Coturnix japonica: one gene and its partners. The protein of the gene in region 3 purifies or fractionates together with the protein of the main gene of each other region. This does not show direct contact. Links are inferred from orthologs where the notes say so. Each region holds a gene or a part of one and is shown on either strand. Other genes may lie near its edges.

What was found. The genes of interacting proteins can lie anywhere in the genome.
Region 1: the proteins of CDC27 (region 3) and ANAPC7 purify together in Homo sapiens (affinity purification with western blotting; 23 studies listed by BioGRID and IntAct, with this or other methods). This does not show direct contact. The link is inferred for Coturnix japonica from reciprocal best matches to the Homo sapiens genes CDC27 and ANAPC7.
Region 2: the proteins of CDC27 (region 3) and TTK purify together in Homo sapiens (affinity purification with western blotting; 3 studies listed by BioGRID). This does not show direct contact. The link is inferred for Coturnix japonica from reciprocal best matches to the Homo sapiens genes CDC27 and TTK.
Region 4: the proteins of CDC27 (region 3) and cadherin-1 purify together in Homo sapiens (affinity purification with western blotting; 4 studies listed by BioGRID and IntAct, with this or other methods). This does not show direct contact. The link is inferred for Coturnix japonica from reciprocal best matches to the Homo sapiens genes CDC27 and CDH1.
Region 5: the proteins of CDC27 (region 3) and PLK1 purify together in Homo sapiens (affinity purification with mass spectrometry; 4 studies listed by BioGRID and IntAct, with this or other methods). This does not show direct contact. The link is inferred for Coturnix japonica from reciprocal best matches to the Homo sapiens genes CDC27 and PLK1.

The regions. Positions count from the first base shown.
Region 1 is NC_029530.1:4,520,423-4,525,878, reverse strand, and holds part of ANAPC7 (anaphase-promoting complex subunit 7), read right to left. Parts: coding exon 5,455-5,456; intron 4,948-5,454; coding exon 4,836-4,947; intron 4,609-4,835; coding exon 4,455-4,608; intron 4,349-4,454; coding exon 4,206-4,348; intron 4,109-4,205; coding exon 3,991-4,108; intron 3,587-3,990; coding exon 3,390-3,586; intron 2,814-3,389; coding exon 2,589-2,813; intron 2,192-2,588; coding exon 2,041-2,191; intron 1,543-2,040; coding exon 1,353-1,542; 3' UTR 1-1,352. UniProt on the Homo sapiens protein: Component of the anaphase promoting complex/cyclosome (APC/C), a cell cycle-regulated E3 ubiquitin ligase that controls progression through mitosis and the G1 phase of the cell cycle.
Region 2 is NC_029518.1:72,241,323-72,247,927, reverse strand, and holds part of TTK (dual specificity protein kinase TTK), read left to right. Parts: intron 1-3,071; coding exon 3,072-3,177; intron 3,178-3,279; coding exon 3,280-3,355; intron 3,356-3,434; coding exon 3,435-3,532; intron 3,533-4,275; coding exon 4,276-4,378; intron 4,379-5,054; coding exon 5,055-5,172; intron 5,173-6,333; coding exon 6,334-6,515; intron 6,516-6,605.
Region 3 is NC_029542.1:2,282,575-2,289,913, reverse strand, and holds the start of CDC27 (cell division cycle protein 27 homolog), read right to left. Parts: upstream 4,051-7,339; 5' UTR 3,820-4,050; coding exon 3,793-3,819; intron 1-3,792. Other genes in the region: MYL4 (myosin light chain 4), read right to left, coding at 7,242-7,270. UniProt on the Homo sapiens protein: Component of the anaphase promoting complex/cyclosome (APC/C), a cell cycle-regulated E3 ubiquitin ligase that controls progression through mitosis and the G1 phase of the cell cycle.
Region 4 is NC_029526.1:16,828,307-16,834,439, reverse strand, and holds part of cadherin-1, read right to left. Parts: intron 3,927-6,133; coding exon 3,697-3,926; intron 3,587-3,696; coding exon 3,452-3,586; intron 3,366-3,451; coding exon 3,210-3,365; intron 3,142-3,209; coding exon 2,997-3,141; intron 2,884-2,996; coding exon 2,708-2,883; intron 2,595-2,707; coding exon 2,466-2,594; intron 2,377-2,465; coding exon 1,859-2,376; intron 1,783-1,858; coding exon 1,640-1,782; intron 1,560-1,639; coding exon 1,335-1,559; intron 1,145-1,334; coding exon 923-1,144; intron 847-922; coding exon 716-846; intron 536-715; coding exon 392-535; intron 278-391; coding exon 65-277; 3' UTR 1-64.
Region 5 is NC_029529.1:6,812,668-6,818,417, reverse strand, and holds the end of PLK1 (serine/threonine-protein kinase PLK1), read right to left. Parts: intron 5,621-5,750; coding exon 5,401-5,620; intron 5,091-5,400; coding exon 4,932-5,090; intron 4,715-4,931; coding exon 4,637-4,714; intron 4,173-4,636; coding exon 4,018-4,172; intron 3,553-4,017; coding exon 3,370-3,552; intron 3,000-3,369; coding exon 2,793-2,999; 3' UTR 2,235-2,792; downstream 1-2,234. Other genes in the region: ERN2 (serine/threonine-protein kinase/endoribonuclease IRE2), read left to right, coding at 73-220, 318-445, 525-648, 797-864, 931-1,122. UniProt on the Homo sapiens protein: Serine/threonine-protein kinase that performs several important functions throughout M phase of the cell cycle, including the regulation of centrosome maturation and spindle assembly, the removal of cohesins from chromosome arms, the inactivation of anaphase-promoting complex/cyclosome (APC/C) inhibitors, and the regulation of mitotic exit and cytokinesis.

The sequences.
Region 1 (5,456 bases), on a different chromosome or scaffold from region 3:
GCAGAACTCCATTTAATACTTTGGAAAGTTTAAAGCCCTCAGGATTCCAGAGAGAAGAGATACTCAGCTCTTCTGCTTGTTTTTAAGTGCTAAAATACTAGTTTCCTTTCTAAGAATGTGACATAGCGAGGTACTTCAATAACGGTCTGTAAGAGGATTGATCTGCTGTGTGTTCTTGTAATTCATATAGCACATCACAGAAGAGCTTTTACCCTTATTGGTGCTGTACTTCTACAGCTAGGGGACGCCTGTTCTCTGTGTCAGGTATTTGTACAAGTAGGTATTCCTCTGTTAGCTGCTATGCTGAACTGCTTTTTAGCCCTGCATTAAGGTCCATCTGCTCCAGCATAACTGCGGGTACAGGATAAATGTGAAAGAGATTAAACTGGCAATGTAAAGAGATGTTTAAGGAAATAGTAAGGAAAACAGAATGGTAAGAAATGTAACAGCACAAAGTAATTCCTCCTCCTACACACTGAGCCCACAGAACTGAAACAAAGATCACCCTCAAAGAGATGGTGTTGAAATGATAACGTGAATTCAAATACTATCTGACAAAAAGTATATATATGACAAAAACAAGCTGATATATATTTGTACGTTTTTGCAGAGAAGCAAGTGGAATAGGATGAATTCTTATACCTCCTGTATGCAGAACATGAAGTGCTTTGAGTCACTGCTGTAAAAGCCTTTAGTAACACACTGAAGTAAAACTCAACTGCATTTAAAAATGTTTATGTACAGACAGATTATAAGGTTTAATAAGGGCTGGTTTGACTCTGTACACATAGAAATCAATCAGCTACAAAAGTGTCCTCTAGCTCAAAGCTGCCTGGGGTGCCAAACTTCTTTACACCACATGCAATGCCTTGTAAAAAGACAGTAATTAAACCAACACAGCGAGTAAGAAGTGCTGCTTTCAGCCACAGCCAAGTGACTCCTCCAGACTTCATCAGGAGTGTGAGCCCAAATCGCTGCTTACAAACAAGGGAAGAAGACCTTTTTTACAAAGGCATATACCAAAATACTATTTACAAATTGATAAAGCACACTTAGCCCTCAACACGACAGCTTTCATCATAAACAGCAGGCTTACAGAAACCTTAGATTCTAATGCTTTTGGTTTGATTAACTGCAGTTAATCTCTTATGCTTAATAAATAAGAAGCATCAAGAATCTTCATGGCACTGAGATGCATAGACTGAAACCATTTAATAGTTCTATTAAATTAAAAAAAAAAAAAAAAAAAAAGATAAAAAAGAGTCTTCAGTTCCTGCAAAGATCAGAGTTCAGAAAGGAATGGCCCTACTGATGTTCTCATGTGCCAAATCAAGCACTGGGGAGAGCAGCCATCACTGCATGCCAAACCACTGCTCTTGATCTGCCCACTGGGCTGCCTCACTGTCACTGCCTTCCAAGTCCCCCTCTTCTCCACTTCCCTCCATATCATCCACATCTTCTTCCTGGGTTGCATCTGTTGGACTTTCCTCTTTTTCCATTTTCTGCATTCCTTCTAGTGACTTCTGATCATTTGGATCCAAGCTGAGGGGAAAGAGAAGAAAAGTAAGTATTGCCTTAAGACTTATTTTTCTTATCTTTATGGTAATGTCACAAATATAGAAACATTTAACTTCAGAAGGTAACATCATGGTTCTTTATTACCTATTTAAATTTACACAGTAGCTCCTGTTTATATATCATCTCCTGCTCTAATGGAACAGCTCCCAAGAATCCTGCCTGTATAATTATTAGTTATAAATACATCCATGCCTCAATCACTTCAGTAGCCAAGGAACTCCATGTCCAGCAATGTGTCTGCAGTTAATACAATCCCTATATTTTGCACTCCTTGGCACAAAGCCCTGTGACCAACTAATTCATTATCAGAATGCGATGTATACGTTTGTCTGCTTTGAGGAAGAATGATGTGAAGCTACCCTTGATGCATGCCCTAATCAACCAGTGCCCTGGCACTCAATTTTTTACTTGGTTGGTTATTCAATTCTATGTGTACGATACAGTCTCAGCCCTCATGCTTACCTTAGGGCAATACTGTACTGGTCCATTGCTTCCTGGTACTCATTGACAGCTACAAGGAAGTCTCCCAGTATTCGATGCAGAACACAGTCACTCTGATTAGCCAGTGCATTCCTCAGCAAAGCAATTCCATCTTCATACTTCTGCTCTCTACCTGTTTATTTGCAAAACTACAGTTTTAATTAATAGTTTAGATAACTGTGTAAGCAGACTGTACTCCAAGGGCTACCACAACACAAAAGCATTTCTTCTCTTGGAGCTGTTGGCATGAAGGATGGCAGCAATACGCTTTTTGTAAGCAATAACTGCTACACACATTAACACATCATATACTTTGAATGCAAAACATTTTGTATACAGTGGCTTTAAGTGCTGCCATAACGTCAGTTGCTAGGTATAATTAATTCCCATGCTTTTTCCTTCCAAACAGAACTGACAGATCCCTGTGGTGCAACATCCCTGTCATGTTATTTGCACTGATGAGGCCACAGAACGCTCCTGTATATGAAAGAGTAAGTTTTAAGAAAGCTGACATGAAAAAAGAAACTTACTAAGAAGTTCTGCTTTCTTTACCACAGCTTTAATGTAATCAGGTCTTTGTGTCAGTGCTTTGTCCAGTAATGTTTTTGCTTTCTCCTGTGTGACTGGGTCTTCAAGGCAGACTGTTGCTAACAGAGTGAGCGTCTGTGCATTTGCTCCCAGAGTTTTATACACGTTATTTGCCATAACCATAGCTTCCCGGATACTGTTAGATGCCAGGTAACATTCAATGAGACCTGATAATAAGAAAGAAAAGCGTTTCAGTTTCATTTGGTATATCCAGATGATACCTGTTGCCAGCAGTTGAAATATTCTACAAGCAATTCCTAAGACTGCCAATATACAGTATGTTGGAAGCACTATTGTCCATTTTTATTTAATATTGAGGGTTTTATTCTGCTAAGAGAACTTTTAACTCCACAAAAAAATGCATACTCCCCCCAAGTATTTCTCCTTAACTATTTACCATCAAACTCTGCTCATGCTTAGGAGACAGTATGTCAAAATGAGGCTCCTGGTATGACTAACCATACACTGAATGTCATCATCCAAAACTGATCTGCTCAAAACACCCGGGTCTGTTTACACTCAGATTAAACCACTTAAAAACAAACAATTTGAAAATGCTTCTTATAAACACATGCATTCTCTAGTATCTCCTGTCTGACTACTTCTACCAGCACTATAGTTTTTTGGGTAAAAATAACTTTACATGTTAGAAAGTCAACAGGGGAAAAGAGCTTGTCTATTCTTTCTCAATAAGAGCCGTTAACACTGCACCAATGCAGTCTGAGGAGCTTTGTTTCACTCACCCTCATAGCAATCCAACCTGCAAGGTGCAAGACGTATCGCTTCACGGAAGTGTATGATTGCTTCCTGTACTCGGCCCATATTCCTGAGGGCAGCTCCCTTCAGCAACAGAGCTTGAACACTGTTGCTATTAAGCTGGATAGCTTTGGCTCCTAAATATAAGGCACGGGAGTATCGTTTACTATAAAAACTATGACACCTATGGAAAGACAAGATGGATTGTAAACATGTACTGCCTGTGTACACTCACAGAGACTTAAAAGAGGGAAGGAACAGGTTACAAGTAACTGCTGAACCTTCTACATTTTAAGTTAAAAATAAAAGTTTGTGTAAAAACAAACAAACAAACACCTCCCCAAACACCTCTGGAAAACAAACAAACAAGAGAACACCATTAACCATCACAGCTATTTAACACATCATTGCTATTGCAAAGGTTTAGTCATTCAAACCAGTTTAGTCTTAAAGAAACCAACCAAAATAGGTACTCCTGACTAGTTCAAGTTACTTCCAAAACAGGACAAAAAAGCTGATCTCACTCTATCAGCTGTAATGGACTACACTCAGCAAATCAAGGGTAAGAAAGGAAAGAGAGCATCTTACCCAGACACTACCCAGGGTTCTGCGTGTTGATCTGAAATATTGAAGAGACGGCAGCCTAAGTTTTCTACATCCTCCAGTCGACCTTCCCGTGCCAACAAATAGCCATACACATCCATTCCTACAGTGAAAAGTTTGAGAGACAATATTTGCTTGCTACTCTAACTTAATTTAGCAGAACATTATACTAGGTAAATTTTCCACTATGATTTACTCACCTTTTATTAGGTAAGGATCCAGCATTTGAGCTTGTTCAAATTTTAGAATAGAGTTTTTATTATCTCCAGCTCTGAAATACAGGTCTGCTAAGCTCCCCAGTAGATCTACATTATCCCTCAGCAGTGACTTTTTCTCTAAAGAGCTTTAAGAGAAACAAATTGCTGTTGTTAATGTGTAATGATATTATAAAATGTCATTGAAGAAATATTTTATGGCATTTGATTACATCACACTCTTCCAAATCTTACCAAATTGTATTGATGGCTCTAGTGTTATCTCCAGTATGCACAAACGCATATGCCTTGATCCACACTGAAAGCCAGTCCAAGTTTGGAATGCTCTGAATGATATTTATTGTCATAGAGGCCACTTCTGCACCCTTCACTGACAGCGACAGCAAACCTGTTCACAGAGGTATTCAAAATCATACAGAACAATTTCAATCACCGTTGCTACAAATTATCTGAAGACAAGGAAGCACAAACAATTTGTCACGAATTTATAGTTTGCATTAAATACATCTGCATCAGATATTACCTAGAGATGGCAGTCAATTACCTAGTCCCAACCATGCTTCAAATTATAATGCTTCTTAGGATTGATGTACTTAACAGCGTGGAGAAACCTACCTAGTATGGCATCAAGTGCTAACGGGCACTGCCTCAGTACTTCCTTGTAGCTTGTAACAGAGGAGCGTTCTTGACCTGCTTTCTTGTATAGATTTGCCAGCATCATATTGATCTGCAAGTATTAGAAAGGAGTCCTCACTAAGAAAAGGTCACAACTTTGCCCTCCCTCCAGCATGCCGTCCCTCCCTTCCGTTCTGAGTAGAGATCACTATAACCTACTATGTATGTATTATAAAATTAATATTGACTCTTGAGTCCAAATGTAAAATGTACATCTTTTTATTTACATAGTACAACTGGAAACCCCAGCATTGTGACATCCAAAAATGGACAAGTGTTTTAAGTATGACAAGAAGAACCTGTACATCCACTGCACTAATCTTCTTTCAGTTCATTTCTTCTATCAATGGAAGCTCTCAAGAGAAGGAAGGCATGAAATGTTTCTTTTTAGCTTTTAAATTGTAATCAGTGATAAAAGAACAGAAACAATTTAAGCTCTGTGCAGTCCAACTAGCTGAGTCCTGCTACATTCTAGTGTATATAGATTAAGTTTGCTTTCCTCAACCTTTTTTTCTACCTTCTGAGCAAGCACCGATGACAAACATCTGCCAGAACAAACCT
Region 2 (6,605 bases), on a different chromosome or scaffold from region 3:
AAGGAATTAAAATATTATAGATCATCTGAATATGAGAGTCCAATGGTAAACTTGGATATTAAATACTTATGGGAGTGTGGCAATGATGATATCGGATTGGTCAACTGCCAGTTCAAAGCCATTCTCAGTGTCAGTGTTAAACTCTAAGTATATGTTGAAGTACTTATTTTTTAAAATTTGACCAAAAAATTTGACTTGAGTAGTTTACAAAGAAAAACACCCAAATGGAAATAGCTAAAATATCAGTGTCCATCTGGTGGAAGTCTAGCTTCTTCTGGCTAAAGACAGAAAGAGACATGGGAGGCTTCAAAGTAAAAATGAATTAACTTTGATAAACTGCTCTAGAATTTAAACAATAAGCAAAGTTGTATGTAAAAATCAAAGTCCTTAAACTGGGGATTTCTTGGAAAGTAGCAGATAACCATGAATGTGCTCAGCTATAATGATGGAAAACAAGGCCTACCTGATGAGGAAGCTCTTACCATATGTAAAGTAAGAAAGTAGGAGATAATACAAGAATGGTGGTATAATAGATAGCCAAAGGTTATCTATAGGAGAAACTCACCAATTCTGAGATCTTCAATCTAGATGAAAAATGCTGAGGCTGGTCACCCAAGCTCCACAAAGGAACTATCTCCAAAAAGAGATGCTGTTGTTGTGGTCATCAGCCCTTAAATGAACCCCTTCCGGAAGCACAGCTGAATCACCTTCACCTGTGCTCCCACAGCTGACCTGACACTTGCCTCAGCTGGTTAATCAGAGGTTCAGGCTGTGATTACCAATTTCCTATACACCGTAGTAGTTCACTGCATATAATATATTGCATATTTTTTTCTTTCTTTTTTTTTAAATGGTCTTGTGTTATAAATCAGCTTAGCTGTTTATCTGACTAATCAGATGGTAGTTTCCTTTTAATAAGACTCGTCAGGATAATAAACTGAAGTTGGGTTTAGTATTCACCTAAGGCTCTTAAAAGAGCTCATATTTCAGTGTTCCCTAAATGGAGAGGTCTATACTGTAACATAGTTATGCACAATGTGCACAGGAAGTTACTGAGGTGTGATATAGGTACCTTTGTATTACTGATGTTGACCTGCCTGAGGGTAGGGAGGCCCTATATAGAGGGATCTAGGTAATCTATATCACTGGGCTTAGGTGAATTGGATGAAATTCAACAAGGCCAAGTGCTGGGTCCTGCACTTTGGCCACAATAACCCCATGCAGCACTGTAGGCTTGGGGCTGAGTGGCTGGATGACTGTGAAGAAGAAAGGGACCTGGGGGTATTGGTTAATGCTCAGCTGAACGTGAGCTGACAGTGTGCCCAGGTGGCTAAGAGGGCCAACAACATCCTAACTTGTATTAGATAGTATTAAATAGTGTGTCTGGCAGGAGCAGGGAGGTAATCATCCCCCTGTACTCAGCAATGGTGAGGCTGCACCTTGAGTATTGTGTTCAGTTTTGGGCCCCTCACTACAAGAAAGATGTTGAGGCCCTGGAACATGTCCAGAGAAGGGCAACAAAACTAGTGAGGGGTCTGGAGCACAAGTCTTATGAAGGGTGGCTGAGGGAGCTGGGGTTGTTCAGTCTGGAGAAGAGGAGGCTCAGGGGACACCTTGTTGCACTCTACAACTTCCTGAAGGGAGGTTGTGATGAGGGGGGTTTGGCCTCTACTCCCAGGCAACAAACAGGACCCAAGGACTGGCCTCAAGCTGTAGCAGAGGAGGTTTAGGTTAGACATAAGGAAAGACTTATTTTCTCTCAAAGAGTGGTCAGGCACTGGAATGGCTGCCCAGGGAAGTGGTGGAGTCACCTTCCCTGGCAGTGTTCATGAGGCTTCAGGATGAGGAGCTACAAGATATGGTTTAGTGGCTTGTGGTAGAGACGGTAATGGGAGTATGGCTGGACTGGATGATCTTGTAGGTCCTTTCTATTCTTGTGATTCTATGATTGTGTGTTCTGGTTATTTCATGATATATATCTGGTTATATCATGATTATTTGTTAATCTCTGAGGAGTTACCTCCCCTTCCATTTTTCAGCTTTACTCAGAAATAGTTTGGATGATAGCAATTGAATTTACGTTTTTGTTTGAAGGTTAATGTACAACTTCAGATAACTTTTGCTAAGTCTTCCATAATTGGGTGAGATTTTCTGTTAGGTTGAGCTATTGAAGCTGTTGCTTTTGGCTTCCTTATCTTTTGTGAAGTTGCAGTTGTAGAACACAGCTCGTAAGAGCACTCTCAACTTTGCCCTGAGCAAAATCAGGTAGTTCACTTACACCCAGCTAATTACTTTGTCTAATTCAGTTTAATTTGCCTGGTATGAAATATGAGTGTTTTTGTATGTGCGATGTTAGCATATAAGTGAGAAGGGTCCAACAAACAAGCTTTGGTAACAAGTTACTGAGTCACTAGTACTAGTAGTAGGGAATTTATTCATCTGTCTATTCTGTTGTACCTTAGAGGTACTATCTCTGGGAGAAGCTGGGTTTTGATGCTTAATTTAGGATTTATTGTGTTTATCTAGACGGGAGTATGGAATAAACTGAGTCTATATGTGAGCAGTTCTATGTTTCTAGGTGAGTCTGTATAAGACAAGCTTCAGATTCATTCTTTACATAATGCTGTTCTGGAGTGAAGGCTTATTTTCAGAGTGGAGATCTAGAAAATGGACTTGCTCTGAAAGCTGCATCACAAGGAATGAGGAAGAAACAGCTTCTTAAGCCATTAACCCAGTGATTGAGGATTTAAAGTGAAAATTTAAATTGCTTGGATAGTCTTTGGATTTGTTGAATCTCCCTTTGTTTTAAAGTAGTTTACAATTATAGCTTTGCAGAAATCAAGCAGCTAATATATTTTAGAAGTTGTGTGTCACTTTGTGCCTGTCCTAGATATCTCTCTGGCTGTAAATCTTTTAAAATTGTATAAAATATATGTCTAGATTTATAATAGATAATGTTATTAATATATATTGATATTAGATTACTGCAGATGTATTTCTTTCTAAATGGTTAGAAGTGCTTAATGGAACCTGTTGTACAGTCTGAATAATTCTAACTAATTTACCTACAGCGTCAGGTATACAAGTGTCTGGACTTCAGAGTGTAGTTGGAAATCAGAGAAATATAAAAAGGAACGATTCTACTGAAAATTCTTCTGCTGTTGCTAAACTTCTTGGGTAATGACTTGATTTCTTATTTAATTTCTTAAAGCATTTATGAAAGAAAACCATTTGCTACTGTTTGTTTTTTTGGTGTTTTATTTTTCTTTTTGCTTTCAGGGACGAGAAATCACAAGAACTTGATGCTGTTGTTAACTTCCACAATCCATTAAGACCACTAAACAAATCTAACCAGGTATAACATGAATTATTTTCTTTCAAAATATTAAAATTTTAAAACTTTATGCATTTAATAACTTGTGATTTACTCCTAGGCCTGCCCTTTTGGGAGGGTTCCTGTTAAACTAGTAAATGATTTTGATGACGTGGTGCAGAAGATGGATGTCCCTCATACAGCTAGTGTTATGAAAAGGTATAGTTGCTTGGTTTTGCTGCAGTGCAGCAGATTTTCATTCTCCTTTTCAATAGGGATTTGTTTTTCTTATAAGACGGTGGGAATATAAAGTGTTAATGTTAAAAATTTAAGATTGACAAATAATCATAATTGTGATTAGATATTAAACATCTTTTTAACTTAATACTGAGATTGTATAGCAGCATGGATCAGTTCCTTGTTCTAGCAAATCAATGGCCTCAATAGAGAGGCACAGACTAAAAGATAATTTCTGTTAAAAGTAACTTGAGATTTTTATATTCTAGTTCCAAAAATTGTTTTATTTTCCAGAATAATTTTAAATGCTCTTTTAGCAGTACTGCTATAATTTTTCATAACAATGGAGATCTCCTGATGTATATGTTCGTTGTTCTATTATGAAAGTGAATATGCTCATTTTAATGTAACTGCTTAGCAGCAGAAGGATCTGCCAACTTAAACACCACATTGTTATGTCTGTCCAAGAGCTAGAAACTTACTTTGAAGCCTATTGTTTGCTAGCTGTACTTTTTTACCTGTCGTAGTAGAAGACAACCAATTAGTCATCTGTCACTTCATGAGATTATGGTGGCACTGTTAAACACTTCTGTACAGTTTCTCACTTGGCTATCAGTGGACCCTTTTTCCTATGGTTTTTGAAATTCACACAACTGTCTCTATCTGTATTACAAAAGGCAACTGTTATATGTTTGCATGTTATAAAACTAACAATATTTTTTCAGTAGGCAAATATCTAGCTCCAAATGTACAGCCTTGATTCCACCTTTTCCACTCTCTGAACCAAAACTTAGTGAGAATGATTCGTGTGACCTGGCAGACTCAAAGGTAATATAAACATTTTTCAGATGGACAGAATGAACCCTAGATGGTTGTCCGATGTTGTTAGAAAAATGATAACGCTTCAAGTCTGATTAAGTAATAAAATAGAATTGCTCTGTTAAGCAATCAATTGTGAACAGAAATATTCACTGCAGCTTTCAGAATTTAAAAGCATTATGTGTGATCAGGTGTTAAGAAAAAGCTCTCTGTAAATCCATTGGGAGAAATAGCACAGGGTGAGGGGGATTTAAAAATCCTTCATATAATTTATAAATAGGAAATGAGATTACATCTTGACTACAAGACTCTTTCAGCTGTAGTCAGGATTTTTTGTCTTGGGAAGTATTGTATTTCCATTATGCTAATTCACTGAAGTCTGTTAAATGATTTAAGGAGCAGTAAATCATGGCTTTTGATGGAGTATAATTTTGAGATGTGTCTTGCATTTTTGTCTTGTCCTTCCAGAAAGAAAACATTTGGTCTTTGTTAAAGAAATTGTGTGGTGGCAATTGAGTGTGTTAATGGATTTAAAAGCAGGATCGGTAATATTTCTGTGTATCCTGCTCTTTTGTTAAATTATTTGTTCTATGGTACGCTGGTCATTTCTTATCAGATGGAAATGTCTTTTGGGCACTATACTTGGGAACCATTTTACTTTTCAACATGCTTTTTGTTTTCTTAGTTATTACAAGAAAAAAGTTCTGCGCAGCTGTTAGAAGAGAGCAGCTCAGAAACGGCTACCCATTCAACTGTCACTCTGAAGAACAAAATAGATACAAGTCTTGTGATGAAAAGAGAAGGTAACTTATTAATGTGATGTTCTAGAATGTTGGAATTAAATAAATATTGAGAAATTGCTGTTCTGTGTTTTAAACATAGACTGTTGAAGAAAACATTATTCAGAATTGGAGAAAAGGATCTGCTTGGAGTTTAAGAGCAATTAATTAAAATGAGTTATGAGTGGTATCTGTGGAAGTGCTGAAAATGAACAGTTGTTGCAGGTCTAAAGTCAAATATCTTGTGTGTGGATGACTGGGCTTGAGGATAAAATGCCCACGTGTAGTGCTAATTCACTATATACCTAATTTTATTGTAAACAAAAAGTAAATAGGTATTAAAATAACATCAGTATAGGGTTTCAAGTTATGACTTGCCAGCCTGAGCATGGAAAAATGCTGCCAGCAGAAGTGATAGTTTATACAGGAAAAGTGTATGCTGACTGACAGCAATTCCAACTGTGGATTAAAATATTCATCGAGTGTTGTCTGTTTAGGCTTTATTTTGGCACTCAAATCATACTAGCTTGCTTTCCTTGTGTGTGCTTGTAGTTTGTCATGTGGATGCCGTAGCTCTAATTACTTGTGTTGAAGTTTATTCTAAGATGCCTTATCCGAAGTAAGCTTTAAAAAAATCACTGCAATTATTTACTTTCTTTTAGGTCACCGGGGAAAAAAACCCAACCCAATCAATGTCTTTTACCATTCTTTCCATATGCTCAGTTAACTCAGATTTATGATCTCATACTGCTGGAATCCTTGGTTCATTTGAATGGCAATTATACTAAATAAAGACATTGAGTCAGAAGTCATCCAACTTCTGCTTAGTATATCCTTTCTAGTTACATGAATCTAAGACTGCACAAGCAATCGGAGGACCACTCTTAAGCTATGCTATTTACAGCCTACTTACAGCAGCGGGTTTGCGTTATATTTTAGTAATACTCTAACTTTCTTTAAACAGTTGCCATGTTACTACAGTGAGCTGAATATTAACCCTGAAGATTACACTAATGCCTTGCAAACAACAGTTTCTGTAAAAGATGTTGGGTTCCAGTAAATCAATGATTCTCATTTATTCTGATGTAGAAAATGAAGGGAAATGTATCTAGAAATTGAGGTAAATTACCAGGAACTATTTCAAGTACTGAATATTAAGTATTTTTAATTTTCTGATTTATTCAGAAAATAAATTCCAGTGTCAAGAGCTGAAGATACCAGAACCAAGGAGCCTGGAAAGTCGACAGCAACAGTCCAGTTCTTCTGAAAGCTATAGAAAGCAATTTGATCAGATAAAACTGAACTGTCCTAACTCCCGAAAAAAATGGCCAAGCCAAGAAGTGATGCAGCAAAACTGCTATAGAGAGGTGAGGTAACAGGAATATGTGATGGCTTCCTACCTGGAGCTACTTTCACATATTGTGAAAAATGATTTCTTTAATGGTGGCTTCTTGTGT
Region 3 (7,339 bases):
TTTGGTCTGTAGGTCTCAGCTGTACACTTAAAATCAACAGGTACTTTAAGCCCGTGTAAAAATTATTAATTCTCTGCAAATAATAATGCAAAGATGTTCTTTCTCTCCAGCTGTACTCCACGCTTCAGATAACTTCAGCCAGTGTCTGCATGAGCAATTGCTGCTTTTACCTTGAGAAGCTCCAGGGCCGTGCATTGCTGTGCCCCCCAGGTAGTGTTGTATGAGAAGAACTGAACAGAAGGAGGGTGTTAAAACCTTTCAGACTAACTCCAGGTTAGGGCAGCTCAAGGTCTCCCTCTTCCTCCTGCTCTCCAAATCAGCTCTTCCTTCAGTGAGCCACAAGTGGCATTCAGATCAACCTACCCAACAAGAGCTGCCCTGGAGTTAAAGGCACCGTCTCAGCACACATACAAAGCATGGGGGTAATGGTGGCAAAAATAATAGCAAAAATCAGTATCATCTGGTTCCCAAACAAGAGCAAGATGCCAGAAGATCCTGCCAAAGGCTGAGAGGGGACCCAAGTCATTCTTGGCTAAATCACAGCCGTGTTATACAAGGTATGCTACACACTGGCTCAGAGAACAAGCCTTGCTGAGCAGAGTCCCACTGAACGCAACAAGCCAGCTGGCAGAATCCATTTATGTAATAATAGTCATTTTGCAACTAAAAAGGTGCAAGTTGGAGCTGCACCTTCATTAGGCTGATTCTGACAGCTGGATCCTCACATGTGTTGCCTATGGGGGTAGTGAGGGGGGAGGAAGGTGGCAGAGATCAACCACACCAGTGCAGTGCTGATTTTCTACAGGTATAGCACAAGATAAAGCTCTAGCTTACACAAACTACCAACAAAGAGTATTGCTGCTGCATTCTTTAGGAAGCAAGTTTGGGACTGGAGCATCACTGTCGCTATAGAGTGGTTTAAAGCAAAAACACTTTGGGGGCATTTATCCAATAAAAACTACTTAATCCTGCAATTCTTTGGGCCAGGACAACCCAGTCTTACTCTCTTCTCTGCAGCAGTGATTACATTTTACATGCACTGCACCCACCAGGACCCAAAGCAGTCATCTCCTTGAGTGTATGATAAGCAGCTGATGCACTGTAGCTGTCATGTCCGCTCTCTGAGCAGCAAACAAATACAGACAGGAGAGAAGCTTCATGTGCTGCAGAGTTTTACCATGCTTCCAGAAGAGGTTAAGTGTCCAGGCTCTCATCATCCAGCCTCCTGAATACACACATCCATTTGTAAATGCAGAGCAAACAGGGAATCCCAAAACTACCACACCAGCTACAGCTCTATGGCAAAGCATCCTCAGAGTCAAAAGCAAGCAAATAAAAGCCAATTCACACATGTCTATTCTCAACCTAGAAGATCCTGGGCACCATCCAAGCATCACTTCATATCTAACCCCCAAATCTCAAAGGATAAGCCCACACTTCTGACAGTTACACAGCCTTGGGAATTACTTCTCAAGCTTAATAATGTAGTGACATGCTAAGCAATCACTTATAGCACATTTTAACATTTGTTCAAGGTGAGGAGAGGGGAAGAGAGTTTCCAGTGACAGACTCCACTATATTTGCTAGCTATAGAGGCTCTGGTAAGTAATCAGACACGTAGTGGTACTGGATGCTTCCAGCCATGGCAGCAGCCTTGGAGTTCAAGCATCATTCATGTGGGTCACGGCAGATGATCACCTTGAAAAGCTGAACTCCAAGGAAAGCCTTCACTTTATTTCCATGATGTTTTTCAGAGCTATTTGGAAGGCACCCAAATGTACACAAGATACAAGGCCTTACATCTGAGCTGAAGAGTTTTAAGCTGACCACGTCAAGAAGTACAACAGTGCTCTGTTGTCTACATAAAATGAGTCAAAGCACCAGAGGTTGTGACATTTAATGAGCCAGAAGAAATCTAACCGGTCATCTTGATGTCTTTTAGGACATAACTTATTAGATAATTAAAAGATTACACTTTTAAGGCAACATAGAAGCAGAGATTTCCAGCATTTATCTGTCAGACTTTGTGTATCTTGCCTACAAAGATGAGTTTGGAATATCAGCCTTGTAGGAGCTGGTGATGAAATGACAAACAGAACATCTCTGCAGTTACAAAGTGAAAAGTAATGTCTGCTTATTTCATGCATACTATAAAAAAAAAGCACAAATAAATAGAAAATCAGAGATAAATGCACAGAGTCCAGCTAGAAGAGGAACTCAAAAGCACAGTTTAACTTCATTCAAGCTGTGTACTGCAAAATGGAGTCTGATGATTGGAGACACGGTGTCAGGGCAAAAAGAAGAGTGAGCTGATACAGAAAGCTTCTGCAGCACAGAGCTCCCAGCTGTGCCCTGTAACAGCAGATCCAGGCAGGACCAAATGCCAGCCTTAATCTGGATGGCTGCACTGGCAACTTTTCTACCTTAAAAACCAACAGTCCAGCCAAGGCCACAACAAGTAACAAATCCTAAACTTATCAGCATTGCTGTAAGCAGGGAACAGCAGCAGAATTACTAACTAAAGAGTTATTTGGCATGTGAAGAGTCTAAATAGGGACATTCACTATAGCAAAACCCTACCAAAACTCACAAGCAGATAAAAGCTTGAGAACAGTATTAGACAGGTCTTTATCATGCATTTCTACCAGGGAACTTTTAGAACAGCAAATACTTTCTTCTAGCTTAGTCTAATTAGCAGAGTAGTGGAAACATTAAGTATTGTTTCCTGTCATTCCCTTTGAAATGCATTCTTGCTCCCTTTTCTAACACAACCCCATGTTTTCCTAGAAGACCCAGCTGCTAAAATAGCATCACAAATACAAAGGTTGCAGCAGTGCACGGGTAACACCACTGAAGACCCAACAGAAAACTCATTCCTACCAACACATCGTCCCACACTCAGAGGAACAGAACAGCAGCATCACAAACACAAGGCCCTGCTCTATGCGAGCACTGTGGCTGCCACCATCTCACACAAGGTCAGGCCAGCAGGGTGGTGGTCTTCCACAGGAGAAGTCCTTCCTTCCTCATCCTCTTTTCCTTAAAGAAAGAATCAAAGCCAGACTGTTCACCAAGCATTTCTGTAGCACCAAGATGCCTACAGCTCCAAACGTAACAAGGAGAATAAATACACTGAGAAGCTAAAAAGAGAACATGAATGGGATTAGCAGAAAATCACACAATTAGAGTGATGCACATAAGGGGAAAGGTAGGAAGAAACAGGCAGCTCTTATCCTGTAAATCATATCTTTGCAATGGGATGATTGAGAACGAGCAGGAAGCCCATCAAGGTAGGACATGAAGGTAGAAAAACACAATTATGTTGTTTTCTCTCCCAGAGCAGAGATACAAACTCTGAGACACATCCACAGGGAACAAGGCACGTCCTTCACACCGGCACAACACGTAGGGAACCGAGCACGTATCGAAACGAGACAACAGCAAAGAGGTGAGCGGGACGGTTCAACAGGTCTCCCCGGGGAGCTGCGGGGAGCAGAGCGGCCTTGTGCTGCCTGCACAGCGACGGGGAGACCGGGAGGGATCAGGGGGGTGAGGGGTTGGTCTGCGAGGCGCAGGGGGCTGCTGAGAGCCCACGGGAGGGGCCATAGAGCTGCCACAGGGCCCAGCTACCGAGGAACGGACACCGAGAGCAGCCCCCGAGCGGACAGGGCCCTTATCGGCCTACAGACATGGCCCTATAGAGCGGGCGGCGCCGCTCCGAGCTAGGCCGGGACCGGGCCTCGGGGCCTGAGCGCGGCGGCAGCCCGAGCCCGTCCGCCTGGGGGTCGGTACCTGGACGGGTTCCTGTAGCACCGTCATCCTGCTCCCCTCGGCCTCCTCCTGCTCCTCCTCCTCGCCAAACCCGGAGCGGGGCGGCCCCGGCCCCGCCTCACTGCGTGTCCCGGCGGCGGCGCGGTGCGGCCCGGCCCCCGCTCATTTAAACTCGCAGCGACCGTTACCGGGGCGGGCGGCGGGGAGGGAAGGAACGAGGTGGGCCAAGAGCCGAGTCCGCCCGAAGCAACCGGCGGAAATAGCCGAACCCACTGCCGGAAACACCCGAAGAGGTGGGCGGAAAGAGCCGAACGCTGACGGAAAACAGCCCTCTCGGCTGCCGAACGGAAGCGACTCAGCTGGCGGAAACACCCGAGTGCGGACGGAAAGAGCCGAGCGCTGAGGCGGGGCAGGCGGTGTTGCCCCTCAGGATCTGGGGGTTGGAGGCCGCTTGGGGGCCTGAAAACAGCTTTGTACCAACACGAAATAATAACAAACTGCTTTTTGTTTTTGTTTTTTAAGCAAAAAATGGGACTTCAGGGTTACTCAAGAAGCCTCAGCGTCCCTCGGTGGTGGGTGAGGGGCCTGGTTCCCCCCCACAGAGCACAGAGGGCGCTGGCCCACATCTCTGTGGTAAATCCATCCATTTATCTGCCATAAAACCATAAAAAGTCGTTTTTTAACGACCCACAGATCATTAACTGGAGCTCAGCGGGTTTTTTGGGGTTTTTTTTTTTTTTTTTGGGGGGGGGGTGTGGGGGTCAGGTTTTAAAGGTTGGAGCTTTGATTGTGGAGAGCTTTCCTTGCCTCTGTGGAAAACCTGGTGTCCCTGTGACAAAGGACCACAGTGCTCATCCATTTCCACCCCCCTGCTATGTGCAGGGTCACCAACCAGCAGCCCAGGCTGCCCAGAGCCACATCCAGCCTGGCCTTGAATGCCTGCAGGGATGGGGCATCCACAGCCTGTTCCTGTTCCAATGCCCCCATCCAGGTCAGAAATGAAGGGACTGAGCAGGACAGAGCCAGCACCGACCCCTGTGGAACACAACCGCTGAGCAGCCGCCATCTGGATTCACCACCAATGAATGGCAATGATGGACACCTGGCTCCCAACCGGGTTGCTTTCACAGCATCATAGAAAACCCCATGTTGGAAGGGACCCATAAGGATCCAACTGCTGAGCCGTTTTGCCCCAGGAGCAGCAGAACCTTCCCATAAGTGATGGTGGAATGTGCAGACGTGAGTGTGTGTGCATCAGAGCCCGCTCTGTTATCATCATCCTCACCCCAATCTCTGCCCCTCTGCGTGATGAAGCTCCTGGGGTGGAAGCTCCGTCTGCTCCCTGTTGCACACAGGCTTCTCCTGACACCCAGGCCATCTTTGGTATGAACCTCTGCCTTATCTCAGGCTGAGGAGATACAGCAACAGGCTCTCCCTAAAGTGGGAGGTTATTTTTCTTACTTCTTGGGCTTCCAGTGAAGTGTTTGAACTGTGAAAGGGCAACAGCCTGAACTCTTGTCCTGGGACATCTCCATCTGCTGTAGCCATGCAGTTCTATGGATGAGGTCAGTGGATGCTCTGTGTAAATGGGACTGAAGCCACCCCTCAGCACCCCGAGCTCAATGCAGGGAGCACAGAGGAGTACAGCAGTGCAGAATAGAGGTATGTGCTGCTCCTGTACACATCATTCCAACCTGCCTCTGTCTGAATCTACTTATTGCCTTGGAGAGACAGAGCAGATCCCCAGAGCACAGCATGGCTGACGTATGCTGGGGGCTGCTGCAGAAGCTGGAGTTATCAGCCCTTGCATTCTTCTCGAGTCCTCCCTGTCCTTTTCCACTGCTCTCTGCCTGCTTGCAAGAGCCTCTTTGCTTTTAATTTATAGCATCATTCCTGTCTGCACAGGAGCTGGAGGCTGGAACACACTGTGTGCAGCAGCAGAAGCACAGTCTGTGCCTTGCTGGGGTAGGACCATCACATCCAGTGGGGCCCCCAGCCCCTGCTGCACATTTCCTCTGTGGCTTTGGGCAGATCCTTTGCCTCTCTGCTCCGTTACCATCTGTAACAGCACGATCCTCTGCAGGATGCAATGCCACTGCAGGGCCACGAGCCCAAAGTGCAGCAAGTGGTGCCCTATAGTGCCCTTTCACCACAGTCCTCTGCCAGGTTCAATCACAGACTGCACTTTAAAGGCATTAAATGCCCAGATTGTCCCTAGTGGAAGCTGTAGAAATACCACAGACAGAAGCTAGGAATCTAATCATGCATCTATAAACAGCTTATGTTGCTTTTTATGAGCATTCATATCAAGCAGTGGGAATTGGAAGCAGCTGTTGCTCGGTTGTGGTGGTGGCTGAAGTCAGCCATACTAAAGGAGAATGCTTTAAACTGCCAGTCCATGGAGTGAGGGCACTGCAAGGAACAAAGCAAAGCGTTATCTGCTCCCAGGTGCTCTGCTGATGGCTGAGTTGTCTCATGAATTGTTCACCACTTCTAAGGATGTTAGCACCATTTTTGCAGGTAGGGAGGGAGCTTCCAGCTGGCATTGCACAGCCCTGGATGGCTCCTGGCTGCTGTGTGTGTGCATCAGAGTCAGCCAGGGAGCATGATCTGTCTGGGCTTTACAGGATGCTACTCATGCATCAGAGCGGCTGCACCAAAGCCATCCAGGGTGCATGGTCCTGGCTGGGATGTAGGATGATAACCATACAGCAGCAGGGCCAAGCATGTCCCTCTTTGCTCCATAGTGTTCAGCTTAGACCTGCAGGGAATGCTCACAGCACAGCACTGTAGGGTAGATGGGCTACAGACCCAAAGATGTGTCCCAAAGCCAGAAGGACTGTGGGTGCTGCTTATCCCTCATCTCCAAGCCTTTCTTCCCCCAGCTGCAAGACCCCCAACCCACAGCAAAGGCAGGGAGATGAGCAAAGACCCTCATGCTGTGCCTGAGCTCCTCTCTCCCATCTGGAGGCCACCAAACCCACTGTTGTCCCTTTCTTCCCTTGCTGTCACAGCATCCTGCCTCTTCTGGTTGCTGGATCCTGAGCTCCTCACCCATTGCTTTATGACCAGCCCGAAGCCAAAACACAGAGACCACGTAAGGGAGGATGGAATGAGGTTTAATGATACAAACTGCACAGGAAAAACCTGAAAAGAATAATTTAAGGCTTGGAACTGAGGTGCAGACTTGTCCCGTGTTTACCCACTGGGGTGCATTCATGGAGGCTGACTGTGCTTATGGAACACCTCTGCCTTCAGGGGAAGGGGGGGACGTGGATGTAGGAATCTCATGGTTTGTGGGGCTCAAATGGATTCCATCACCTCCAGGAACCTGGAGAAAAGCATGAGAGCAATGAACACAACAAAGCATTGCCATAGGAGCAGGAGGTGAACCCCAGATGTCCACAGCTCTAACTCCATGCCATTAACAAACAAACAGACCCTGAGCGACCCACCTGAAGTTCCTTGGCTCAGCCAGACATGATGTGCTTGACAAAAGCTGGGGGGGAAATGAGAAATGAGCTCTCAGACACACAGCAGGGGACAAGGGGGACTCAGTGCAGCAGAG
Region 4 (6,133 bases), on a different chromosome or scaffold from region 3:
GCACGTCCGAGGGGGTGAAATGGCAAGAGTCATGTGGCGGGACAGCCAAGGGGACGAGGGCTGCCTAGTCATCATCCTCCCCACCGCCATAGAGCTCCGCCAGCTTCTTGAAGCGGTTGCCCCACTCGTTGAGGTAGTCGTAGTCCTGGTCCTGGTCGGAGGCGGAGGAGTTGAGGGAGCTGAGCGAGGTGGCCTCCGACCCTCCGCCCTCGTAGTCGAACACCAGCAGCGAGTCGTAGGGGGGGGCCGTGGGGTCCGTGTCAGCCGCCTTCAGGTTCTGTAAGGGAGGGCAGAGGAAGGGCTCACCCGCTGCTCCCCCCCGGCCTCAGCCCTATGGGATGGGGACGCTGTGGTCAGCCCAGCAGTGCCGGCGCAGACGGTCGGGGCTCACCTCATCGATGAAGTTTCCGATCTCATCGGGGTTGGCGGGCCGGGGCCGGTACTGGGGGGCGGCCATCAGCGGGGGGGCCACGTCATTGCGGATCACCTCGGGGCGGGCGTCCAGGCCGCGGTGCAGCTGGCTCAGGTCGTAGTCCTGCGTGGGGATGGAGCAGAGAGAACAGCAACATGACACTGGAGGGATGGCTGCAGGCACTGCTTTGCACACTCCAAACATCCCTCATGGTTATGGCAACCCCCCTGTGGGCCACCTGCCATAGGAACAGTGCTGCAAGGATCCCACGGGCAGCACTGAGATCTGGCACCCTGGTCCCACCTGGTCCTCCTCGCCGCCGCCCTCCTCATCGTAGTTGTAGACATTGTCCCTCATGTCATCCTCAGGCGGCAGCAGCGGCTCCTTCTCCACTTTGCGTCGCCGGGCAAAGAGCAGCAGCAGCAACAGCAGGACTGCGAGCACAGGGCATGGCGTCAGCGCTGCGAGGGGAAAGCAGCCCCATCCACTTCCCCATCACACCATACTCACTCAGCAGGGCCAGGATGCCCCCCAGGATGCCCAGGATGGCAGGGACACCCAGCCCACCGACGATGTATGACCTCCGCTCGCAGTTCTTGGCTGTCCCTTCACACTCACACACCTGGGCTTTGACCTGTGTCACCTGTGTCTTGCCCTGGCCGTCCGTCAGCTTCACAAAGATGCTGTACTCGCCCGGCTCCAGCTCCTTTTTCAGGCCCACGGCCAGCTCATCTTGTGCAAGAGAGAGGGAACTGGGCTCAGAGTCGTCCCCAAGTGTGGAGACACTATCAGGGCTCTGCTCCATGGCAGCTCCCCATCATGAAAGCAGCAGCAGCTCAGTGCTGGTGGCATTCAGGGTAGCACAGGAAGAAGTAGCTGGGATCTGGCCCTTGCTCAGTGTCCCACACCCCACAGCACTTACCTTGGCTTATTATACTGACAGTCCAGTTGTTGCTGGAACCATGCTCCAGTGCTACTGTGAAGGGGTAGGTATGTGGGGGCAGGTCCTTGTCGACAATGCTCAGCACCTGCTTCTCAGGCTGCCGGCTGCAGATCTCAAAGGACCGTGGCTCTGGGGTGGGCCCGTTGTCATTCACATCCTGGAGGAGCAGCAGCAGCGTCCCCGTACCGGTGCTATCCGGCACCCCTACAAAGCCAGACGTTAGCGAGGCAAAGAGACCACATCCCCAGAGCTTCCATCTGCCTGCAGCGGGGGCACAGCCTCACCATTGTCCACAGCCAGGATGATGGCCTTGTATGTACTGTTGATGGCGTGCACCGACTCACGGTCCAGCGGTTGGGTGGCCGTGACGATGCCGTTCTGGGCGTCAATGGCCAGCCAGCCTGCTGGGTCGCTGCCCATGCGGTACCTGGGCAGAGGGAGCGGTCAGGGGGAGCTCAACGCCCACCCCATGCTCTCTCTCTGCCAGCCAAGCCCCCACTCACGTGATTTTCTGTCTCATGTCCCTGTCGGGGTCTTTGGCCGTGTAGGATGTAACCTCGTGCCCCACTGGTAGGTCCTCTGGTACCTCCACCCTCTTGACAGGGGGCATGAAGACAGGGGGCTCATTCACGTCCAAGACAGTCACCAGGACGCTGGCGGAGGAGAGTGTGATGGGCACAGACAGGGGCACTTTGTTCTCCACCGTCACCACCAGGTCATAGCGGCTCTTGGTCTCATAATCCAGGCCCTGCAGGGTGGGGTGAAGGGTTGAGGTGGTAGTGGGGCCGATGGGGACATGACCCACTCTGGGGCCACTGGCAGGGACGTGACCCACCTTGGCTGTCCTCAGGATGCCATTGTTGGTCCTGGGGTCGGTGGTAATGCTGAAGGCACCATCCTGGTCCCCACTCTTGATGTGGTAAACGGCTTGCCAGGCTGGGGAGCCTGGTGCGTCTTGGTCCGTCACCGTCAGCCTGGCCACCTCCATACCCGGCTTGTTCTCTTCCACCACCCCCTCGTACTGCACAGAGGGCACAGGGATGGTCACACATGGGCAGCCTGGGGAGGGCAGCAGCTGGGGAGAGCCAGCCAGGGTGGGGGAGCACGTACCATGGTGGGGTTGAAGACGGGAATGTTGTCGTTGGCATCCGTGACCTCAATGATGGCCGTGGCGGTGTTGGACAGACCCTTGCCCTCCTGGTCGGTGGCCTGGACAATCAGCGTGTAGTTGGGAGTGGTCTGCAAGATGAGGTCACAGCATCAGAGGCCCCGCGTTCCCACAGAGCACCCCACAGAGCGCCCCTCTGTGTGCGGGTCTGTACCCACCGTGGGGCGCAAAGCAGAGCACCCACCTCCCGGTCCAGCCCTGTGCCCAGCACGCTGATGACGCCCTTGGCTGGGTCGATGGTGAACATCTGGGGGTGCGGGCTGGGCGGCTGCTGGCTGACGATGGAGTAGCTGACGATGCCGTTGTCCGTGTTCACCGCATCGTCCGCATCCGTGGCGTTCACGGTCATCACGGAGGTGCCTGGGCAGAGCCAAGAGCCGGGCAGACGTCACTGGTGGGACGCGGCACCGCCGCCCCCGGCACCGCTCCATCCCGGGGCTCCCGGCCCCCCGCCCGCCCGCCAGCCCCCACACCTGGCTTGGCGTTCTCCTCGATGTAGCCAACAAAGACCTCCTTGACGAACACGGGCTTGTTGTCGTTCTGGTCCATCACCGTGATGATGATCTCCATGGGGTCCTCCACGGGCTGCCCGCTGGCTGACACGGCGTGGGAGAAGAGCTGCAGGGGGGGGCACCGTCAGCCCCACGGCCCCGCACGGCCCCGCCCGCCCCACGGCCCCCACTCACGGTGTAGCGATCGATCTTCTCCCGGTCCAGCTGCTCCGTCACCTCCAGCCACCCCGTCTCACGCTCGATGATGAAGATGCCCACGGGCGGGCTGTCCGCGCCCTGCCCCGTGATGCTGTAGTACACCTTGGACTCCTTGTCCTTGTTGGATTTGATCTGGCGGCGAGGCAGGGTGCTGAGAGGGGACACCCAGGGGCTGGTGCCCGTCCCAGTGACACCACGCTCAGCCCTCGGCCCCGTACCTGCACCAGCCTCATGGGGTAGGGGCCCCGGTGGTTCTCCAGGCAGCTGATGGGGGGGATGACCCAGTCCCTCTTCTGCCTCCGGAGGAAGCCGGAGTCATGCTCGGGGAAGGTCAGCACAGACGGTGTCATGTCCTGCAGGAACAGCAGCTCATCCTGGTGCCTGTGGCAGCACAGAGCAGCCCAGAGGCACCTGCTGCTCTTGGCCCGAAACAGTTGGGCTGCAATGACCATGGGGACTTCACCTGCAGGTGTTGGTGGTGGTAGTGGCGGCGGTGCCTGTGCCTGCCCACAGTCACCCGTGCTGAGTGCCTCTTGCCCGTGGCATCCCGTGCGTAGATGATGAAGCTGATCTCCCTCCCATGGAGCGTCAGTGGCCGTTTTGTTGAGACGACGCCTTCCATGTTCACCTTGAAGCGCGTGTCAGACGGGACATACACGGCCCACGGCCGCCCGCTGCAGGCTGCAAAGCTCACTGCGGGCAGGGGAAAGCGTGGGCAGGGTCACCCCACCATGCACAGAGCATCCCCATGCACCACTGCATGCACAAGAGAGCCCAGGCACAGAGCACCCCTGTGCACTGCAGTGTGTGCAATGCAGCCTGTGCGTGATCCACTGTACCATCACAGAACCATCCAGGCTGGGAAACACTGCAGACATCCCCCACCCACCCCACCATGCCCATAACCGCATCCCTTGGTGCCACATCCCCACAGTCCTTGAACTCCCCCATGGACGCTGACTCCACCACCCCCTGTGCAGCCCATACCAACACACTGCCACTCTTCCAAAGAAATTCCTCCTAATACCCAACCTCAGTGTTCTCCATCTTTGCCATGTGGGCATGGTGCATCCATACAGAACATGCCTCCATGGCACAACGTGTGGCACACCACTGCTGCCCTGCCCGTGGCTGTGGGCTGAGGGTGCTGTGCTGCTGCTCCGGCTGCTTTTCAAATCAAAACAAGGGCTGTGTCTGGCTCAGATCCGCTGGCACGTGGCCACCCCAGCAGCCAACTGGGATATGAGTCTGTGCAGTGGGGAAGGTGCACCCAAGGGCGTGAGACAGCAGCTGGGGCACCCCTGCTGCCCAGGTATCCATACAGAGCTCCATCCCCTCTGCTGCTTGGGGTTCTTTTGGGACAGATGACACCCCGGAGTCACCCTGCTGGGTCACAGTGTGAGCTCCAGCACAGGCCATGCAGGTCTGGCAGTGCTCACAGCAGGGACCAGCATACCAGGGCTGAGGACAGCCTGGGGGGGACCGCGCAGCTCAGCAGCGAGCAGCAGCATCACATGAGGCTGGGCCGCATGGCTGGAGCTGCCAGAACAAACGCTCCTTTGTCTGGGGATGTTTTGTTTGAGCCGGCAGCACTCAGCCGGGGTCCCCCTGACCCGCACAGCCTTGGCTCCCACATGGCCGTACAGCACGCGGGGTACCGCCATGGCCCAGCAATGTGCCCGGGCTGGGAAGCACGGAGCTGGGCTCCCCAGGGGCGGCCGTCACTGCCGGGACCTGTCCCAGCGTCCCGTGTTACATCAGCCTGCAGGCAGCCCAGGAATTCAGAGACAACATCGAGGGGGAGGTAATGGCAGAGCTGGGCCGGGGGCTGCTCGCCCACCGCCGTGCCGCGCTCCCTGCGGGGCGATGCCAACCCAGGCGGGCCAGCCGGTGATACCGGCTGTGCAGGGCTGTGCTGGGGCACGCCGGGCGCTCCCGCACCGTGTGCTCGCAGTGGGGAGGTGCCCCATCCCTGCGGGTACCCGGCTCCTGGCACTTGGCCGGCGGAGCGCACCGTGCACAGCACCCGGCCCCGCACCGCTGCTAAGCTCCCCCTCTCCCCCTCTCCCCATCTCCCCCTCTGCGCCCGGCCGTGCACAACCTGTTTTTCCAGCTCCACACTTGAAAGCCAGCCCCTCCCAGCTCCATTCTCCCCGGGGCACTGAGCCAATGGGGCCTCGGCAAGGCGTGGGGCAGGGGTCGAGCTCAGGGGCTCCTGCACTGCGGGAGGCAACTGAGTGCCACTGATTTCCTGGACCTTCAAATGCGTTTGGCCGTGGGGCCCAAACCAGCGAATTACCGGCTCAAAGCTGGGGTGGGGAGGTGAGCCCTCCACACTGGGCTGGGACCTGGGGACACCAAGCTACCCCCATTCTGCTGCGACACAGGAAAGTGTCTCACTGGGGCTGGGCACAGGGTGAGTCACAGGCGCAGCCAAGTGCCACCATCCCAATGTTCTTCCCCATCCCCACGCAGGTTGTGCAAGTGCGGCTGTGCCGGGGCGGAAGCTGGTGGCGGGGAGAGGCACACGTCAGCCATGAGCAGCCAGGGTGAAAGTGCTGCAAGAGCGCAGTGAGCCACACGTCCTGCCAGGGCCTGACATCACCGAGTTTCACCGTGACTTCAGACTCTCGGTTTTCTCCCATTTGGGGCTGATCCGGGACCTACGCAACTGGGAAGCGTCACACCTGGCTGCACACCCGTGTTCCTCCCATAAGGTGCCATACCCACACAGCCGAGGGCTCCCTCAGAGCTCCTGCCTGGGATCCACCATCCCATCCCCTCCCTTAGGACCCTTTGCTCAGTAAGTGAGGCTGAGCTGAGCCCCAGGGATGCGGGGCAGGTGCTGTCTGTCCTTCCCTTGGGGTGTGGGGCAGCAGCAGCCCCAGCACCCAGCAGAA
Region 5 (5,750 bases), on a different chromosome or scaffold from region 3:
CATATGCTCCATCACAGAATGGAGAAGCTGCTGTGGGCTGTGAGGGGCCCATCTCCTGCCTGTGTCTTGCAGACATGCGCAGTGGACATCTTCTCTGCTGGCTGTGTTTTCTACTACGTGGTGTCAGGAGGACAGCACCCCTTTGGGGACAGCCTGCGGCGCCAGGCCAACATCCTGGCAGGTGCCTGCCAGCTGCCCTGCCTGCAGGAGGATGTGCACGGTGAGGCTGCAGTGGGTGCCTGCAGTGCCGTCCCTGCACTGAGCCCTGTGCCCATCTTCCTCGTGCTACCACTGCTCTCTTCTGTTCCGTGCACCAGACAAGGTCGTGGCCAGGGAGCTGATCACATCCATGCTCAGCAGTGAACCCCAGAGGCGACCCTCAGCCCCTGCTGTCCTCATGCACCCCTTCTTCTGGAGCGCAGAGAAGCAGCTGCAGTTCTTCCAGGTGTGTGCCATGCACTGCGTTACAGTGCGGGCAATGAATTTCTTCCTCACATCTCACACATCCCCACTGCGTGGTGCAGGATGTCAGTGACCGCGTGGAGAAGGAGCCAGCTGAGGGGGCCCTGGTGACAGCCCTGGAGGCGGGTGGTCGTGCTGTGGTGAGGACAAACTGGAGGATGCACATCTCCCTGCCGCTGCAGATGGGTAAGAAGCAGGAATATACAGGGAATGGAACATTCCGGGTGTCAGATAGCCCCATGGTCAGACACTGGAGGTGATGGAGGCACGCAGAGCAGAACCCCATGGCTGTGGGGCTGTGCTCCCAGCACCCTCTTATCTGCTCTCCCCACAGACCTGCGCAAGTTCCGCACCTACAAGGGCAGCTCAGTGCGTGACCTGCTGCGTGCCATGAGGAACAAGGTACATCCCACCCACCCCCCCCACCCACACTGCACTGCCATCCCTCACATCCCCCTTCTCCTGCAGAAGCACCACTACCATGAGCTGCCTGCTGAGGTCCGTGAGGCGCTGGGCCCCGTCCCCGATGGCTTCGTGCAGTACTTCACCTCCCGCTTCCCCCGGCTGCTGCTGCACACACATGGTGCCATGCAGCTCTGCGCCCATGAGCGGCTCTTCCACCCCTACTATAGCCCTGAGCTGGGGGGCACAGGGAGGTGAGCAGGGTCAGCGTGGTTGCAGCACCGCTCCTCATAGCCCAGGCTGCCAGATTATTGACCTTTGGGGCTTACCTGTATGGGACTCAGCCACAGCAATCCTCCTGGATGGCCCCGGAACCTTCTGGCATCCTTCTCTCCCCAGAGTTGGACAGGATGAGATGAGGACATGGGCACCTTGTGGTGCATGTAGGGTCTGCCAGACCCACGGGGCTTCTGCCTTTGCAGAGCCTTGGGGTCCAGACATAGGAGCTTGAAGACCAGAGAGTAAAAATTCTCTACTGCAGATGCGGTATTTTGAGAGGTCAGGGAAGGAAGGAAAACAAAACCACTTTCCTGGGAGCAGCTGGAGCCCACAGGTTGCTCCTCAGATCAGCAGCCTCGTTCCCAAGGTTCCTCTTAGGGAAGCAGCTGTCTGCACGCTTAACACAGAGATGGGAGCAGAAGGACTGATCGCACAGTGCTGACCCTGGACACAGTCTTTATCCCCAGCTGACAGCACACAAATCAGTGCTCAGCATCTGTCACAGGGCTTCAGCCTCCCTCTTTGCAGCGGGACTAGGAGGACATGCCAGGCCTAGGGGGAGGCTTGAAGTCCCCATCACAGTGCTGATAGCAAGCTGGGTTTGTGCAGACCCATTCCTCTTTTTGCTGGAATATGGGATCTTGTTACTGTAGGTAACAAGGCATTTGTACCTGGTTTATCTTCAGAACACTGTATGGCCAAGAACATTTTATACAGAATGTTACAAAATAATAATAATTAAAAAAAAAGCTTGTCTTGCTTTAAACCAGACTTGTACAACAGCAGCAGATGCCAGCCATCAGCACTAGACTATTGCAGCAGTCCAGCATGACTACAGTGTTAGCAAAGTACTTACAACATGAAACATAATCAAAGGCTCTGATCAAACAGAAAAGGGGAGGCATAGAACTGCTTTCCTCCTGCAATAAGCCCCAAGGCTCTTCTCTATTTTCTTTTTGGCATTGCCAAAGAGCAAATCCAAGGCTGAGCTCAGCCAGCAGCTGGTGGGAAGAGCTGGTGGAGATGATAGGTCACGAGGAATCTACAAGTAACATGCTGCTGCCTCCCTGTCAAGGAACCAAGAGAGGCTGGACACTCCCAAGAACAATCTTTAATCAAGTTATACAATATACAAAAGTTTAGTTTGCATGTAGAACAAGTTCAGTATTAAAATGCAGATTGCTCAGTCTCAACCTGGGCAGGTTAAATACATTAGTTGTACTGTGACAAAAGGAAACAAAGTCCAGAGCATCATGCACAGACATGTACAAAACTTACATGATCGTTCTGGGGAGAACCCCACGCTTTATCTCATTAGAAGGCCCAGGAACCTCCAACAAGAGGGTTGGTGTTTGAGTCAGGCTTTAGGCTTTGAAAAGTTAAGGGGATGGGGAAAAAAAAAGACTATATAAGTAATTTTAAAAAAACACTTTGTATTGGGAAGAGCAAGAAACCCCTTTGTGCACCACTCACAGTGAACACAGCACCATCACCACAGCATCAGGGGCTCCCTGGGGGCAATCAGAGTGTACCCAGAAGCAGGAACCCAGCTGTGTGATGGCAAGTTACAGTACAAGGGATGCTAATAAACTTCCCTGTCCACAGCTGAGCCGGTTTGGCACAGATGTTGGTTCCATCAAGACCAAAGCCTAAACGGAGGATTTCACACGGGCTGAGCCAGATTTTGAACTGAGGAGTTTCTCCACCATGGTGCGAGCATAGCGTAGTCGGCTGGCCAGCTCCTTGCAACATCCATGCTCTTCAATGAGGCTCAGCTTGTATGTGCGGAAGTCCCGTTTCTCATCTATATATGTGACAGCAGCCATTAGAGGGCACAAAATGACTTTGGTGTGGTCCTGTGGGGGAGGGAACACAAGGTCAGCACATTGCTCTGCAATGTTTTTCACTCCTTCGGATGAACCAACACAGCAAGGTCACCCCAACTGCAGGCCAGCAGCATGCTGACAAAGCACAACACTGCAGAAAAGCCGCAACAAGAAAGCTCTTACTCATAGAGTGAAGCAAAGGGAAACAAGTTCATGCTAAAGGAAACAACTACTAGATGAGCTAGGAATGGCTGGATGGCTTAAATACCAGCAAGCAGAGCAAGGAGCCTTCTAGTGCTACGTTCACAGGGCAAAGCTTCAGCTCAGGTTGTAACTGCCTGCAGGAATCACCACCTTACCACAAAGCACTGAATGCAGCAAGTCAGTACAACAGCCTCACCTGGAAGAAGTTGATCTGCACGGTGCCATTGCTGAGGTGCAGGATGATGGCACTGCGGGTCCGGAACCACGTGCAGAGGTAGGGTAAACGTGCCAGCTCGTCTCCTTCCCGAGGTGTAATGTTAGCACCTGCCTTCAGCAAGTGCTCGCTCATGTAGTTCCTGAAGTATTTCAATAGTGTTATCTGCAAATAGAACAGGCTGTCAACAGACAGGCTGAGGATGAGCCCTGATATCTGGGGAGAGTAGGAGCTGTTACCACAAATTGAGACTTATGTCTTTCAGAGCTTAAGGGGTCACTGCACAAACTGGTGCAAGTTCTCAAGCACCACCAGAGTTAACTTCACTGTCTGAGTACAAGACTCATTTTGCTGAATGCTTCAGCACATGTCAGCTTCATGAGAGTTTATTTATGTGAAGCTGCTCAGAAATGAGCTTCAGTTAGCAACTAGAAAAAAGCAAGATGCTGCCAGGAACTCTCTTTTGGGTCACATTTTACCAGCCAAGAGGAATCCTGCTGAATGCGACTCCCAGTAACAGATGTTTCCCCCCCCCCACTGTCCACCCTGATAGCAAAGCTCAACGAGACCTGCAGAAATCTCATCAGGAACAGCCACCCACCACCAAGGGCTCCTGTCCTCTGGACTGACCTTCTTATTCAAGGCAGAGGGGCAGGATCTCACAGTGAAGTAGGACTCGGTGTTGTTTTGCTCAATGTACTGCAAGCTGTCCCCATCATTGTACATAATGAGACGAGTGGAGTCATTGAAGAGAACTCCAACACTGTTGTCACATAATTGATAACCTGGTTGAAAAAAAAGCCTGTCAGACCTTCACACACATGGGACCCTTGGTTACATGAAATACAGAGCTGGATCATCTAGGGGATCCCTGGAGGCCACCTCATCAATTTTAAAGATCCTCCTTTTAACAGAGGTCGAGATGGCACTTTTTTCTCCTCTGGGTTTGTCACCCTCCTTTGCTGCATTATCTGCTGCATAAGCAACTTCAACTCCTACACTGAGTACACACATTAGCCACTTTGGATCCACAGGGTCCTGCTGCCTGCATCCTTAATGTGGCCAGGGTAGATATTCAGTGGCCATTACTCTGTGTTCACTTAGTGTTTGATGGTGCTCCCGGTGATACTCTTGAATGCAAACACTGATCATGATTTAAGAACTAAATCTACACTGAGCACAGATCAGGACTTCTACCAGCTGCTTTAGGAGCTAGAAAAGGCTGAAGTACTGCCATCATGTTATTTACCTAGACCATACTTATCCGAGTAGTCCACCCATTTGCTAACCCAAAAGATGGGAATACAGGCTGGGTCTTCAGCTTCTTCTGCAAGGAGAAAAGGAGTTTGTTAGAAGACATTTTAAGGCATGCTGTGCAGCACAGCAAGCAAGGCCAAGAGGAAGGTAAGTAGCTTCCACATTGCTTTTCTGCCTTTCAGGTTGAAGCTGAGGTCAGTTGGTCCCTCAGTTCAGCCAAGAGGCATCAATGACAGAAGCAAGTTGTCCAAAAATGTCAGTGCCTGTGGGATTGTCCCCAGACTCACCTTGTCTCACTGCAGTTCTCTCAGAGGGTTTGGCTGAGTTGACTGCAGTCAGCTGCTGTAACATGTCTGCTAAGTGACACTCAATGCTGTCTCCCACCTCCCGCAGCCCAGCTGCATCTTCCTTTTCAGGCAGGTTTTCTAATGCAGGGCTTTCTGGTCCTGGGCCAGAAAAAAAAGAGAAGATTGCAGAAACATGAGCAGCAAGTTTCTAAAAGCACCAATTTACATGCTACCCTAGTTATAAGAAACACATTATGCACCTCATAGCTGAACTGCTCCCTGCTTTGGTTCTGGACAAAGAACAAGGAGAACTCCCAGACACGATATGTTCTAGTTATCATGAGAACTGGGAGAGTAGGTGAGGCAGCACTATATTCCCCACAGATGGGTCTGTGTGTTGCTAGAGGCCAGGCAGGCACTCATCCAGTGCTGCAGTCCTCAGCCCTCACTTCCAGACGCCTCCTCTTACCTTTGTTGAGTGCCGTCAGTGGCTTTCGCCCATTCAGTTCAAGTGTGCTGGGAGCGATTGAAAACCGAGGTGCAACAGTGAGACAGCTGGTGGGCAGGCGGCTGGGGATGTACCCTGATGTGAAGAACTCATCGTTCAGCAACTCATTGATAGTTGGGCGCGTGGCAGGGTCAGATCTCAGCATCTTCTGAATGAGGTTAGCAGCTACAGGGTTGATGTGCTAGGAGGAGACAGGCAGAGTTGTGAGTCAAGCAGAAGGACAAGCACACATTAGTGGCATCTGCTCTGTATAATACAACAGGTTCTGCTCAGAGCACAGCTCTGGGTCAGGCAAGCAGGACATAAGCCTG